Linked DNA regions of Daphnia pulex. The protein of the gene in region 2 binds, or shares a complex with, the protein of the main gene of each other region. Links are inferred from orthologs where the notes say so. Each region holds a gene or a part of one and is shown on either strand. Other genes may lie near its edges.

Region 1 (3,928 bases), on a different chromosome or scaffold from region 2:
ATGATTTTATGTGTGAACACCGTCTAATTAATCTGATTTCTTACAGGTTTACAAGACCAGGCGTTTCCGCGCAGGTAAGGGTAAGATGCGCAACCGTCGCCGTACCAGCAAATTGGGTCCACTGGTCATCTATGGCAGAGATCAGGGTTTGACCAAGGCTTTCCGTAACATCCCCGGAGTTTCTATGATTTCAGTAAACAAACTGAACCTCATGAAGCTTGCTCCTGGTGGTCATGTTGGCCGTTTCTGCATCTGGACCGAGTCTGCTTTCCAACGCTTGAACGCCCTCTACGGTACTTGGCGTCAGAAGTCTAAGCTGAAGAGCAACTACAACTTGCCTCAGCCCATCATGACCGGAACAGATTTGTCTCGTTTGTTGAAGTCTGATGAAATCCAGAAGGTTATCAGACGACCAAGGCAAGCTTTCTTTTTAATCTTTATTATTGATTAATTAATGATGAAAACCACATTTAGAGCATTGGGTTATGAATCTTTGTGATTAGCAAATTAATCTGAACGCAGTTTATCATTCAAGTGATACTGTCTGGTGCAAAGATGACTAATCGATACAATTTAAATTACAGGAAGATGATCCGTCGTGCATCTGTTAAGCGCAATCCTCTTACCAACATGAGAGCATTGATGAAGTTGAACCCGTACTCCGCCGTGATTAAGAAGTCTGCCGCTGCTGTTGCTGAGGCCCGGAAGAAGAGCAAGACTGCTTTGCTCGAGAAGAAGCGCGAGGTAATTTTGTTTTCTGTGAATGTTTGTATGTCTTAGATAGTTTTTCGTTTGATTTCTGTTTGAATTGTTAAAATTGTATTACCGCATGTGAACGTAACTTAATGCATGCCACATTGTTTAACATGTACAGGCGAGTGCTACCAAGAAGGTAGCTGCCTAGCCTGCGAGTGAGCGCACACAGCATGGTTTATTGAGCTAATCAACAGATGTTTTTGGTGAGTTGTCCATCGTAGTGAGAATCTGATTTGGAAAATAGTCCAAGTTCTAATTTGTATATCCATTCTACAGTCAGTAGTACCCGTACCAAATTTACCTGTTGAAAAGCCGAAAGAAGAAGCGCCCGTTCAAGCACCGGTCCAAGATGTCAAACCAACTCAACCTCCTCCTGTTGAAACCCCTAAGCCAACACCACCAGAAACAAAGAAAAGCAAGAAATCCAAGACGGCTGCAAAGGATTTGCAAGTAGAACCGATGGATGTAACACCCGCGTCCGTTGTTGAGGTGAAGACTGCCCTAGCTCCAGCTAAGGAACCATCTCCGCCAATCGTTACCATCCCTGAACCTGTAGTTAAGGTGGTAACACCAGTCGCTACTCCTGTAAAAGGAAAATCGCCACCAGTCGTTCCTGCCCCAACACCGATTGCTGTCCCGGAAGTGAAGCCGTTGGAAAAGGTTCTTGCTGCTCCCGTTGAAGCTATCCCATTAGAAGAAGCTTCTGTTCCCGAATCAGCTGCTGATAAGGGATCGAAAGCCAAGAAAGCAAAGGGGAAGAAAAATAAGAAGGAATGAGTGACATCATTGAACCTGTGCCTGTATGACGTTTTTTCTGTGACATCTGAATAAACCTTCTGCAGGCTGAAATGTGTTTAATTTATCTTAATAATTAGCTATTAAATGTAAATGTCATGGAAATGCTAATTCTCGCCGTTTGTGGCGCTGTCTTCAATGTTTTGTCAGATGGTGTTTTATACGTCAAGTCTACAATACATTCCTTGTCTTCGTCCTGATAGCAAGGTATCGTATGTAGTGCTCAAATAGGTTCAGAATTGTGCTACAAGAAACAGAAATGAGCTCAGAGAAATTTGAAACTCTGGATGAAGATGTACAAGTTTTGTTCGAAATTCTGCAAAGAAAGTGTTCCGGTAAGCTAGAACAATGTTTTGGCGAAGAAAAAAAGCAAGTTATTGCCGATGTCGAAAGAGGACTAGATGAAGCTAAACAAGCAATATTTGAAATGGAAGCTGAAGCTAGAGCAGCTCCTGGCTCTTTTAGGATGGACATGATTGGCAGGTAAAAATGTGAATGTCTTAAGTTTACACAGCAAACAATACATGTAGTAAAATTTCAACTAATGTTTTTTTTATCATCCAACTTCAGAGTACGAAGACATCAGGACACCTGTTCCAAACTTGCTCTATTGATCAATTCTTCCAAGCAATCAGAAATGTCTCTGGCCTCATCAAGAGGAAAACTGTTGGAAAACCAATCCACTGCTGCATTTAGCCAAAACCGGGGCATTGATAATGCTCTTCAAACAACTGTTCGCCAAGGAACTGCAGTTCTGGAAAGAACATCACAGAGCCTCTACAGAACTACTCAGGTTGCTTTAGAAAGTGAAGAGATTGGCACTGGAGTTATTCAAGAATTAAGTCAACAAAGAGAAGTGCTTGTTCGTACAAGAGATAGATTGACTGAAACGGATGCAGAGCTGGGAAGAAGTAGAAGAATCCTTAAGTCAATGTCTCGTGTTGCTATGACTAATAAGCTTGTCCTAATTGTCATCATTCTGTTGGAGATATGCATTTTGACAGGTTTAGTTTATTATAAATTTTTTTCTTGAAATTATTGTCCTCAAATTCTTAACATACCTCATCAAAAATGTAACTAATAGTGTTAGTGCCTTGAATTTGTGTAAAAGCCGATACAAAAATATAATCATGCGCATAGCGACCAGTATTTTTTTCCCCTTGCGTGCGCAAAGGATTTCCTAGCGGCCTTCGTACGCAGACGGAGTTACGAACCCAACCTCTGGCTTTCAGTTCCATTTGACAGAAGCTCTTCCTGTGTCATGGCGTGCTATACGTGTATTTAAAGTTTTTGCGTTTGCCAACGAAATCTGAGATTTTTCTAAGTTGTTCGTGCTTCGACATCGACAGTTAAAATGGGGTAAGTTGTGCATTTATTGATTCTGTATAGTCTTAAATGAAAAATCGATTCGTACCATATATCCACGTAGCAACAGCTGGATGCTGAGCACCACTGTCAAGTCTGAATTCAAATTTACTGTAATTAAAAGGGTATATGTTTCAAATATTTGTATTTTGGACTATGGAATTAGACAAATAAGAATTTTCCATTAGGGTGTATAAATACCATTAAGCTAAAGTGTAAATCAATATTGAAGTCACAGACTCACTGAAGTGTCCCGTCATTCAAATGTTAAAAAAGATTTTATTAATATCTTGGCTGTAAATATAGCATTCATATTTTCAAACTAATAAGCTAAGCTGCATCCAAGTTTTCAACCTGTACTAAATTCTAAAGTTGTATTGAGCTAAACTTCGAAGCTGAATGACTTGTGCCTCTAGCTACAGCCCAGAAGGATTGTTGCGAAATGTTATTCTCAACTCAAGCAATAGATTGTTGCTTTAGGTGATACATCAAAGTAATATTTCATCCAGCCAGAAAACTCTTGATATTGCTAGGATGCTAGGCCCACTGTTAGTGGGATTTTAGTCACACAATATTGATTTACTTTGAAACATGCAAGCCCCATTCAGACAATTCCAAAAGCACAAACATTCAACAATGATAATGGGAAATAGAAATTTGTGGACTTTGTGTATTCAGTTGTAAGAAATCGATGCTGCGTGTCCTGTGTCTAATTCCTAGATGGCTACTTCGAACCCTTTCCCTTATTTTTCATGGTATTTATTAGTTAATGCTATTCTCGTCATGTTAACTTTCATCCGTACCTACAGTATTCTCCTTTTTTTTCGTTTGCTCACTACAACGTAAGATATCGCGTGTCGAGTTTCATTTCATTTCACTGCTTCTTTTGGAGGCTTCTATCGCCGGCGTCTCCTAGGTTGGACGCTAGATATAAACCCGTCTGAGAAGCCCCACCTTTACTTTAAAATAAAGTAAAAATTAATTTAAAAAAAGGCAGGGGAAAAAAAAATAA
Region 2 (4,915 bases):
TGTACGGGGAATATTTTTAGAACAAAGTAGAACCAATAGCGATCGAATGAAATTCAGAAAAAAAATTATAAAAAGTTAAAAACTGACTGAAGATTGCTTGAAACTGATTTGAAAATGCTAATTTTCTTTGAGAAAAAAACTGGAATTTGAACATTCATGTTTTTTTTATTTGCTTTTTTTTTTTTTTGCTTTTGCATTTTTGATTCTTCATTGTCTTGTTACCAAATGTTGACAGCCGCGGAGTTGTTAAACCGGAAAAGCTTGTCCGCTAGAAAACGAATGAATAGTCACGCAGCATTGCAGTACAAGAACAATTCTTATGGCAAAGATAGATGATCCTCCTACGTGGTTCGGACCACCGAAGGAAATATCCTTTCTGAACAAGAAGGACTGAAACTATCCGCCAATACAACATAAAAATGTTAGAAGTGAAGAAGGAAGTGCAAAAAAAAAAAAAAAAATGGGCATCCGCGGCTATATTAATGCGTGACTCGGTAATTCCTGATCAAGTAACCAGTAATCTTCGTTCGAGAAAACAACTCCTTTTCATCGGCAGCTAGAAGAAAAATTCAACACAATGAAGTACTTATTGGTATGATCACTGTTACATTTACTTTGTATCTGTTACACCTGTATTATATTTAGACATAGGCCGTAGAATCAATTTAAATGGAATTCATTTGGGATGTAGTGCAGCGATTTATTGAAATAGTATTTCATGTATTCTATTTCCTGAATGATTTTTAAAAATTCGTATTTAAAGCCTTGCCTCTAAGCTACCAAGCGGCCAAAAGCACGGCGAAAGTGATTTTACCAATAACAAATTATGACTGTGTATACTCTTTGATAAATATTTAATGAAAATGCGTTTGATTTCAATAGGTGAAGATTTTTATTGTGGTAGCCATCATTTCGCTGGCTAATTCCCAGCAGAGTGCTTCAAAAACAACGCCCAAAACTGTTAAACAGGTATCGACGACGGCTAAGCCCATGGCTGGTGCTGCTACGACTGTTAAGCGTTCATCGACAACGGTTAAGCGCGCAGGAACAACAGCTAAACCGAGAACAACTACTGTCAAGCGGGCAGGAACAACAGCTAAACCGAGAACCACTACTGTTAGGCGTGGACCTGCACCCACAACTGCCAAGCGCGCATCTACAACACCTAGACCTAGGACCACTACTGTCAAGCGCGCACCTACAACTGCTAAGCGCGCGTCCACTACGGTTAAGCGCACAGCCACGACCAAGAAAGTTTAAATGATTCAATTCCGGCCATCATTTTCTTTGTTGTTTCTTCAATCTTTACATATCTATAGGCCCACAGTTAAACATTCCATCGTTGTTTCGAATATGAGCAGGCCGTCTCTTTCTGAGTAATACGACTCAATTTGCTATTCTTATTTAATTGGCAGTGATATTTAGTAAATATAATATGCAGAAATCGTTTGTTATCAATATTATTTCATTTACGATTTTATTTCCGTACAACCAAATACTATTTGCTTGTGTTTTATAGGGATTTGAAGATTTACGTAAGCTTTGGCAATCAAGCGTAAATCTTGAGACGGTTGTTAAAAATTTTTGGAAAGGAAATAAAATAAAATTAACAGAAATGCTTTACAAATTTATATGTAAAAAAAAATGTTTGGGAACTTCTGTGTTCAACAGTAGAATTACACATGAGTACACTTTTCTAAGTGTGCATTATAATATTGTTTTGGTCTTCCCTCGCTAGCAATGAAAACGGCTTTTCCTAAATAAAAAAAAATAAATTGAGATGAAAACATAATTTTGATTGGTATGACGCGGGAACGATGGAGAACCTAGTACGTAAGTCATACTTCTCTTAGGAGGAATTTGCGACATTTAAAGCAAACCAACATTGTAGAAAGATAAAGTCTATACATAGTAATTAATAATAGTAATTGATAAAGCTGGATAAAGGTTAAAATAAAATGATAAATATTGAACTTTATACAGTAGATAATTAACGTTGGCAACGTTGGGAATTACGGCTAATGTTTGGTATTTTTTCGTCTGCACACACTCTGCAGACAACCCTTAATATGACGTGGCATTCGGTATAGTTTCTTGTCGCAAAATATCTGGCGTTCCCGATTATTTGGATTTCAAAGACGAAAACGGATGAATTTTTCGAGAGATAAATTTTTGACGGATGATTACTCGAAGACGCCGGCAAGGCTCTGAATCGGAGCATCAGCCGCTTGCTGAAACCCAACTGCAAAACCAAGTCCTGAAAGGCTCTTCATCCGTTTTACTGTGGTCGGGAGAAAGTCCTCAACAGCAGCCATCCTTTTTCATTGTTCCGCAGGGTGAAATAGGTGCATTTGTTGCACCAAATTATTCAACAGATAAATTTGTAGATGTTCAAGCAAAAACCAACAGCGCTGACATGATGGCCCTAGCATCTAATTCGAGTTCATCAGTTCTGTCTTCCACCAATGCTTCTTCACGTGATCGGACTGCAGAGTTTCTCTCTGCAGTCAGAAGCTTCCAGAGTAGGCCAGTTAACGGAGTAGTTGGGAGGCCGAGTCAATCACATCCATCTAAGAATACAGATCAACATCAACAGTACTCTGAATTCATGAAAGTGGCAAAGTAAGTTGTCGACTTTTAAGAAAATATTTGCAACTATTGAAAATATTCAAATTTTTTTCTGTACAGAGTTATTAGTAAGGATTTGAGCAACACATATGCAAAACTGGAAAAACTAACTCTATGTAATTAGCTTTGTTTTTAATTTCTACTGTTCAACCAATCATTTCATGGTTTCACATTTATGCTTGCAGTGGCGAAAAAACGAACGCTATTTGATGATCGTCCTCAAGAGATCCAAGAACTGACTTACATCATCCGTGAAGATATCACAAATCTGAACAAACAGATTGCTCATCTGCAAGGATTCATGAAAAAGCAACAGAATCAACAACAAAATACCAAGGCCCATTCAGCAAATGTCGTTGTAGCTCTTCAGTCGAAGCTAGCCAATATGTCTTCTGAATTCAAACAAGTCCTTGAAGTCCGCACTGAGGTACACGCCTTTCCTAGTTTAAAAAATAACTACTAGATTTTATTATCTAGGATATTCAGTAAAATGAATGTTTTGAAAATATTTTAGAATCTTAAAGCCCAGAGAAGCCGTCGAGAACAGTTTTCTGGCTCCGTCCCAGTCGTTTCTGATTTACCGGCTGCAGCCTTGACAGGAGGACCGTTTGGATCCTCTCAAAATGGTTCTAAAGGATCTGTTCTACTCCGTGATGCTGCCTATCAAGCCCATGGAGGAGAAGCAGTAGCTATCGACATGGGTGCCGCTGACAACAGAACCAACAGGAATCAAATTCAGCAGCAAGTGTTTGCCGACGAAACAGAATCTTACCTGCAAAGTCGTTCTGACGCAGTCCAAAGTATAGAATCCACTATCGTGGAGTTGGGCGGAATTTTCCAGCAACTGGCTCTCATGGTTCGCGAACAAGAAGAAATGGTTCAGCGGTAATAATATTAATTATTTTAGAATATGTTATAACAAAGAATTTATGGAAATATTTTTCTTCGTGTAGGATTGACTCGAATGTCGACGATGCCCAACTTAATGTGGAAGCCGCTCATGACGAACTCTTGCGTTACTTTCGTTCCGTCTCTTCTAATAGGTGGCTGATGCTAAAAGTCTTTGGGGTTGTCCTTGTGTTTGTTGTAATATTCGCCATCTTTTTTGCTTGAAAATTATCTAAAGTACGATTTCCAATTCATTTACCAATACAATTTTCGATCCTAATGAATTTAAAACTCACGGTTCGTTTCTCCATTGTGCTTGATTAACGAATGTAGATGTGCCCTCTGACGAAAATGTTGCCCAGCAGACTTCTGGTGATTTTCATGATGAAGTTATAAACTGTGATGTATTAAGAATAAAATTCAATAGTAAAATATCAGAAGAATAAATAAATTCTAATCTATATTTGACATCTTCAATATTATAGCTAGCCAGCTAGTATTTTTTTAAATTGCATTCCAATTCCATTCATTTCCGTCAGCTGTATTTTGAAAGGTTGTTTAGAATCACCCTCTGATCTAAAAAAATACCGCAACAATTTTCCCAAAGTTTAGTACTAGCCCGCAGTTCTGAATCTTCGAGTGTGTGCTCTCTTACTCCGAAGAGGGGCGTCCCTAAACTGCGAAAGCGAAACGCGAAACGCGAAACGCCTAAAATGCGAAACAGCTGTGCGAAACGGACCCAAAAGTTGAGACCCTGTTTCGCATTTTAGTCTTTGGGTCCGTACTAAACTGCGAAATCGGTGTGTGCGAAACGTCGCAGTGTAAACGTCTTGGTAGCAGACGACAATGGACGCCGTCAACAAACAAATTGTTAAGAGTTTCAAATTTTCGAGTTTCGCGCACCTTATGGCTGGTCTATTTGTGTGTTGACCATGAATACGAAATACCTTGAATGCAATATGTAATAGGTGTTTTAATTAGAAGATTGGTATAAAAAAATTAATGGAACTTCTCGTTTCCATACTGTATCAGTATCAATCAGATTAACATTCTTAATTTTAAGGAAAGTTTTAGCTGATTAAATTTTAGCTTGATTTGGAACATGGTAGCTTTGACTTTTAGCTTGATATAAGGCACTCATACTGTTATGGCCGATTCTTTCTTTGTGCACGTACCTACTGGTTGATTTAAATTATTTAATGTAATCCGATGTAATCCCTGGGCCATTACCTAATATTTTATTATTTAAAAATATCACCATAACGTGCTGCTCTATGTCTTTCATTAGTTTAATAATCGTAAAATGCGCATCAAAACATACAGGGGTAGTGGCGAAGAAATCGAATTTGATTGCCCCCCTTCCTCCTTTAATGCCTCATCATAGCAGACAATGAAAAAT
Region 3 (5,222 bases), on a different chromosome or scaffold from region 2:
AAGAGAGCATTAACAATTGTTGTTTCCTTGATTGCTGATGCTCTATTGATTGAACAGAAAACAAAAAATAAATGAGAAAGAAGTTGGGGGATTATTTTTCGTATTCCTAATTCAGATACATGCCATAGAGGGGGACTGCTAACAGAAGAATTTGTTGATTACATTCAATCTTTTGCCTTGGAAAATTCGATCAAAACTTATTCATTTTGATTGCAAACAAGTTTGTGTTGGGGCCAGTGTGAACGCTGACAATCCTTGCTACAATAGAAGATTGAATTGCAGCGAGCGCAACGCTTTAGATTTTGAGACATTTTCTTGCAGCCAGCACAGCAGTTTTCGGCAACGAAGTATTCAATCACTTTAAACTGTTTGAATCACAGAGATGAGAAGTTATTTATTAACATTAATTTGTTGAAATTTGGATGAATGAAACGCATTATTTTACCTGTCTCTGTCCTGTTCTCTCTGAAATTGCTAGCTTGCAACTGGCCGCGTCCCATGTCATCATGTATGGATACATATACTCTGATGAGGGTATAATGTATATGCTCTTCCAACTCTGAAAATTCATTTAAAAAAGAAATTGCGGGAAAAGAATGTACGTGAGTCGCGTTTGATCCAACTAAGAATTTCTATCAAAAATATTTTACCTTTGTAGACCAAATAATCACTTTCTTGTAATAGTCTGTTGTTGCGAGATAGCGTCCGTCAGGTGAAAGTATTAATTGATGGATCTGATCATGTCCTGTAAGTTTTCGTGTCTGAATTTCATGATCAAATGGATACCAAATTACAACGTTTCCACTTTCTAATCCGCTGAATAAAAGCCAATTAAAAAGCTGTGGTTATTAGAATGTCAATTTAAACTTGCATCTTTTAAAACTTGATTAAAATAATCTAGGCAGTCTAACCATGCAATAAAAGTTTTTGTCGTCATCTCTTCTTTGATGCCAGAATTCCATACCAAATTTCTGCAATTGGAATCGACATCCAACACAAGAATAGGATCTTTACTGCCCAATGACCAAATCTGCAATTAAAATTGTTTAAATATTGACTCATTTAAATTTAAAAACTTAGACAATAATAATTGTCTATCGACTATTAAAATCCAATAAATATAACGTATGTAGTTCTAATACCTTGACTCGAAAGTCTGTTCCACCTGAAGCCAAAAGTTCAAATTCTTTGTTAATGGCGATACTCGATACGAAAGTTCGTGTTTGGCCCTGGTAGTTCATAAGCGAAAAATTGTCCCTGGAATTCATAAGCGAAAAATGGTGAACAGCTTTGTCATGATCACCCAGATCGTGACGGATTTTCTGGACCATTCGGCTTTTCATTTGACTGTTATTCAATTCTATTTCGTGAATTTCAAACGTTCCATCGTCGTAACCAAAGGCGAGTTGATTGTGCGAGTTCCAGGCCAGGGTCTGACAGTTCCATTTTGATTTGATGGTGTGGGTGAGGAGGTTTTCAGCTGCTGAATTGGCAATCATCACCTCGTTTGTGTCCAACTTGAGATACAATTTTAAAACTTAAAATTTCTGGTGAACAATAAATTAATGTGAATGTTTCTCGTGTACACCGACTTTTAATTTGAAATTCTCCCTTCCCGCATTACTTAAACAAACTACTAAGTTAGCACATGAATATTGTTTTTTTTTTTTCACTTACCGCACTGTTATAACTAGCCAACATGTCCCGGTTAAATGGATGCCAAAAAATTAACGGGAAATTCGATCGTCCATTTCTTCGGAATGTTTGTTTGCCACAGCCTGGATAAGACACAATAATGACAGTCCCATTATCGGAGCCAGCAGCTACTTTAGTTCCATTGACCTTTACGCCAAACAGAAAAACAAAAATAGAAACTTAGGATTAACACTGTAACATTTAGCACACGATTTTGATGGGGTGAAACACGGACACAATTATTTGATTCACAGACTTACGTTCCATTGGACGGATAAAATTGTCCTTTCGTATCGGCTGTATACGGGTTCAATCTCCCAATTCTCAAACGGTGTGGAGTGATTAGTTCCCCGAAGGAAAACTAATCCTCCTTGAACTAAGCCGCACGCCAGAACAGGATCGATGGGGTGGAAACTGGAACTTCTCACATCTAGTTTACTCGTAATTGAGAACTCAACTGGTTTGAAAAAACCTGGATGGGACATCAGACATTGATTAAAAACGATGGACAAGTTTATAAATATTTGTCTTACCTTTCCCTGGTGAGTTTACAGCATCTGTCATTTTCTCTCTCCTTAGTGACGAACGGAAGTGTAAAACCACGTTTAGAAGTAGCGAACTAAAATGAACGAAACATTATTTTACAGCGTTAAAGCTGGAATATCCATAGAGTTTAGAATCTTAAAAATTTCACCGATGCGCAGATAGATGAGTAATATTTAAAGAGACTGGCAGCACGATGCCTCGAAGAATGTTGAAACTGAAGTGGCAATTAAAGAAGATGGAACTGGAAAAGTAAAACTGAAAAACAAAAGAGAAACGTTCAAGGGGGTAAGAAGGGGGTGGATTTGAACGGGGTCGTAGGAAAATTTACCTTGACTTTTTCTGTCTGGAATCTTTTTTGTTTTTCAAACTTGTCTCGAGGTTGCTAAAATAGCTGTAATTTTCGATACGCAACTGCATTTTGACTAATCCTTTGACAAAAATCTTTTCTCACTCCCCTTACCTCACACCATACGACTTTCCTCTCCACACCCACTATATTTTTTTTACCCACTGAAATAACCCCAAAAGAAAGTAAACTTGAAAAACTCGTGTCTTTTCATTTTCCCGACAACTTAATTGATTTCAATTATCTTTCAACAACCAATGATACATTATAACAACTTTCTCAGAGTCCATTGATAGGCATCTCTTTTGCCGATATCACGGTATTTTGTTTATCTAATCCGTTCACTCACATCACGAGCGTGATTGCTTTTCAATTCTAGCTGTCTAAAACTCTTTCAACTTGGCCACATTTGAGACAATCTCTTTGGCTTTCGTTTGGAATTTTGAAAAATGTTTGGATGGTCGTGGGAAAATGCAATTTGGGTCTTCAGTTTTCAGCTAGCTTTATTGCGTGTCCGGACCGTCTTGATGGAGACCTTGAACAGGGACGTGATATCCATCATGATCGGTGTTTCCAACAACAAATATTTTGATTTGAATAAGTAATGTATATTCTTTATAATTTATTTGTTTAACTTACCGTTTGACAATGATTTTTGAGCAAAAATCTGCCAACACTCAACAGCCGTTCTATTTTTCAAACGTCCTCGTCGTCAGTTTGTTGTGGAACTTAGTCCGCCATCTACCAGTCGTTTGCCAAGTTCGTTGCAATGTATTTTTTTCTTTGGCGCCATTCCCATGAACGACGAGCTATTCGTCTTCGAGAGCACACCATTACTGCCATTACTTCACAAGTTCACTGAACAGTGAACAATGTTCGAAAGTGTGCATCCATCGTCTTCATTTGTGTTGAGCAGCGTGATATTACTTTAAAGATTGTACTGTTCATTGTGATTCCTTTGCAAAATCTGTGACCAACATTTTCGGTGGTGAATTGAATCTGCACCAGGCTGGAAGTGACACACATGCTGATGAGGTAAACATCCCTTTGTCTGCAGTATTTGTACGAAAAATATGGCGCCTGACTTATTCTAGAATTGTAACGTGTTGGGTACTTGATGAAAGGTAACTATTTGTGAACTGTTTCACTAAATGACAATATCAACTATGGCACGAAAGGATTGTAGGAGGGTTTTGCACCATGCAGTGCCAGTCAGTTTATATCTTTTTTCGACAGACATCAGAATATGCATCCCATGAGGTTTCTTTTCATGGTGAGTCTACATTGCTTCCTCGTGAAAGTTTATTTTATTATTTTTACGTTGTTGGTGGATATTACTTTTGTTGTTTGTTTTATTTGAGCAGGTTTAGTTTGAGAGTTTTGGGCTTGGGCACCGGTGGTGAAACCCTGATGGTGGTAAAAGGTGTCATGATCTGTTCCCAGTTCTAAACACCTTGCGAGAAATTTAAGACATCCAGTCTTTCACTCGTTTTACCTTCAAATTTACCTTGGTGGACCAGATAACCAATTTTCCTTCATAGCCGGTCGATGCCAGAAAGCGTCTGTTTGGCGAAAATAAGATTTTATGCAAATCGTGGGAATGTCAATCGAAAAACAAACTTGGTTGTATTTCCTTTTCCGTTGGCGACCAAACAAAAATTGATCCGTTATCTAACCCTCTGAAAAAAGATCAGAAAAAGGCGATTGAGCTCTTACGCTTAATTAAATAATCGATTTGGGACACTGGGATATTAGATGAATGAAATCTGACCCGACTAAAAAAGGTTTTTCCTTCGCTCTTTGCACGATTACGCTGGATGGGAATTGGACTCCAAATTTATTCGCAACAAGAAGAACTGGATTCTATCATGCGTATGGGATATTGGGATCCTCTCTTTCCAATTACCAATTCTGCGTTCAATTATTTGAAAGTGAAGGAGTTAAACATTCAATTCTAAATAACCATTTAAATTCTGGGACACACCTTGATCCAAATATCGTCTGAACTGGTGACCAACAGTTTTAATTCTTCGTTCCAGACAATACTCGATACATTATATCCAAAATCTCCTTCTGACAAACTGTATGGGTCTTACGAGTGAGAGTCGGGCACTCACCAAACGTTTCTTGAATAGTTTGCTAGTTGACGTATCGTTTAGTTCTATTTCGTTTAATATCAGCCGTTTCCTAATCATAGCTACAAATGAGCGAATCCAATTCAACCCAGACTTAAATGGGTATTCGGTTTATTATGTTAATCTCTCAAGGAAGTTTTGAAACATGCTTATTAAACTATTATTTTATTTTGACAGAACTTCATCCAGGCGTCATCACCGGAATGACGAAATTCTTGGCATTCGTCACTCCAGTCGTTGGATGGATGGATTACCTTCTAGACCCCAATACTTAACCGGATTCGCTTTTAATGTAAGTCACCCTCACCCACATTTAAACATCTATTTTCTTGTTGTGTTGCAACTATAGAGAATCTTTTCGTTGAAAAGAAAGAGTATTCGAAAAGTTTTCGAATACTGTTTTTGAAGTAATTGCGTTTCTTAATGACAGGCATTTTAAAACAGGAAAAGCTTTTCCTATCTTTGTTTGAAATCTCTTTTCCTTGTTCTTTTGGCTATTG

What was found.
Region 1: syntaxin-5-like (region 2) and vesicle transport through interaction with t-SNAREs homolog 1B-like share a complex: the UniProt entries of both Homo sapiens proteins name them as parts of the SNARE complex. The link is inferred for Daphnia pulex from reciprocal best matches to the Homo sapiens genes STX5 and VTI1B.
Region 3: syntaxin-5-like (region 2) and syntaxin-18-like share a complex: the UniProt entries of both Homo sapiens proteins name them as parts of the SNARE complex. The link is inferred for Daphnia pulex from reciprocal best matches to the Homo sapiens genes STX5 and STX18.

Annotation. Positions count from the first base shown.
Region 1 is NC_060018.1:4,117,599-4,121,526, forward strand, and holds vesicle transport through interaction with t-SNAREs homolog 1B-like, read left to right. Parts: upstream 1-1,696; 5' UTR 1,697-1,810; coding exon 1,811-2,034; intron 2,035-2,121; coding exon 2,122-2,584; 3' UTR 2,585-2,694; downstream 2,695-3,928. Other genes in the region: uncharacterized protein LOC124189006, read left to right, coding at 47-417, 585-744, 1,033-1,533; homer protein homolog 2-like, read left to right, coding at 2,906-2,910. UniProt on the Homo sapiens protein: V-SNARE that mediates vesicle transport pathways through interactions with t-SNAREs on the target membrane. These interactions are proposed to mediate aspects of the specificity of vesicle trafficking and to promote fusion of the lipid bilayers.
Region 2 is NC_060017.1:4,340,781-4,345,695, forward strand, and holds syntaxin-5-like, read left to right. Parts: upstream 1-2,025; 5' UTR 2,026-2,179; coding exon 2,180-2,622; intron 2,623-2,688; coding exon 2,689-2,744; intron 2,745-2,813; coding exon 2,814-3,055; intron 3,056-3,142; coding exon 3,143-3,513; intron 3,514-3,581; coding exon 3,582-3,741; 3' UTR 3,742-3,979; downstream 3,980-4,915. Other genes in the region: proteoglycan 4-like, read left to right, coding at 578-592, 883-1,260. UniProt on the Homo sapiens protein: Mediates endoplasmic reticulum to Golgi transport.
Region 3 is NC_060027.1:1,471,298-1,476,519, forward strand, and holds the start of syntaxin-18-like, read right to left. Parts: upstream 3,260-5,222; 5' UTR 3,227-3,259; intron 2,517-3,226; exon of another isoform or gene 2,390-2,516; intron 2,315-2,389; exon of another isoform or gene 2,260-2,314; coding exon of another isoform or gene 2,229-2,259; intron 2,168-2,228; coding exon of another isoform or gene 1,956-2,167; intron 1,843-1,955; coding exon of another isoform or gene 1,678-1,842; intron 1,518-1,677; coding exon of another isoform or gene 1,143-1,517; intron 1,031-1,142; coding exon of another isoform or gene 912-1,030; intron 817-911; coding exon of another isoform or gene 651-816; intron 560-650; coding exon of another isoform or gene 446-559; intron 366-445; coding exon of another isoform or gene 198-365; exon of another isoform or gene 1-197. Other genes in the region: F-box-like/WD repeat-containing protein TBL1X, read right to left, coding at 198-365, 446-559, 651-816, 912-1,030, 1,143-1,517, 1,678-1,842, 1,956-2,167, 2,229-2,259. UniProt on the Homo sapiens protein: Syntaxin that may be involved in targeting and fusion of Golgi-derived retrograde transport vesicles with the ER.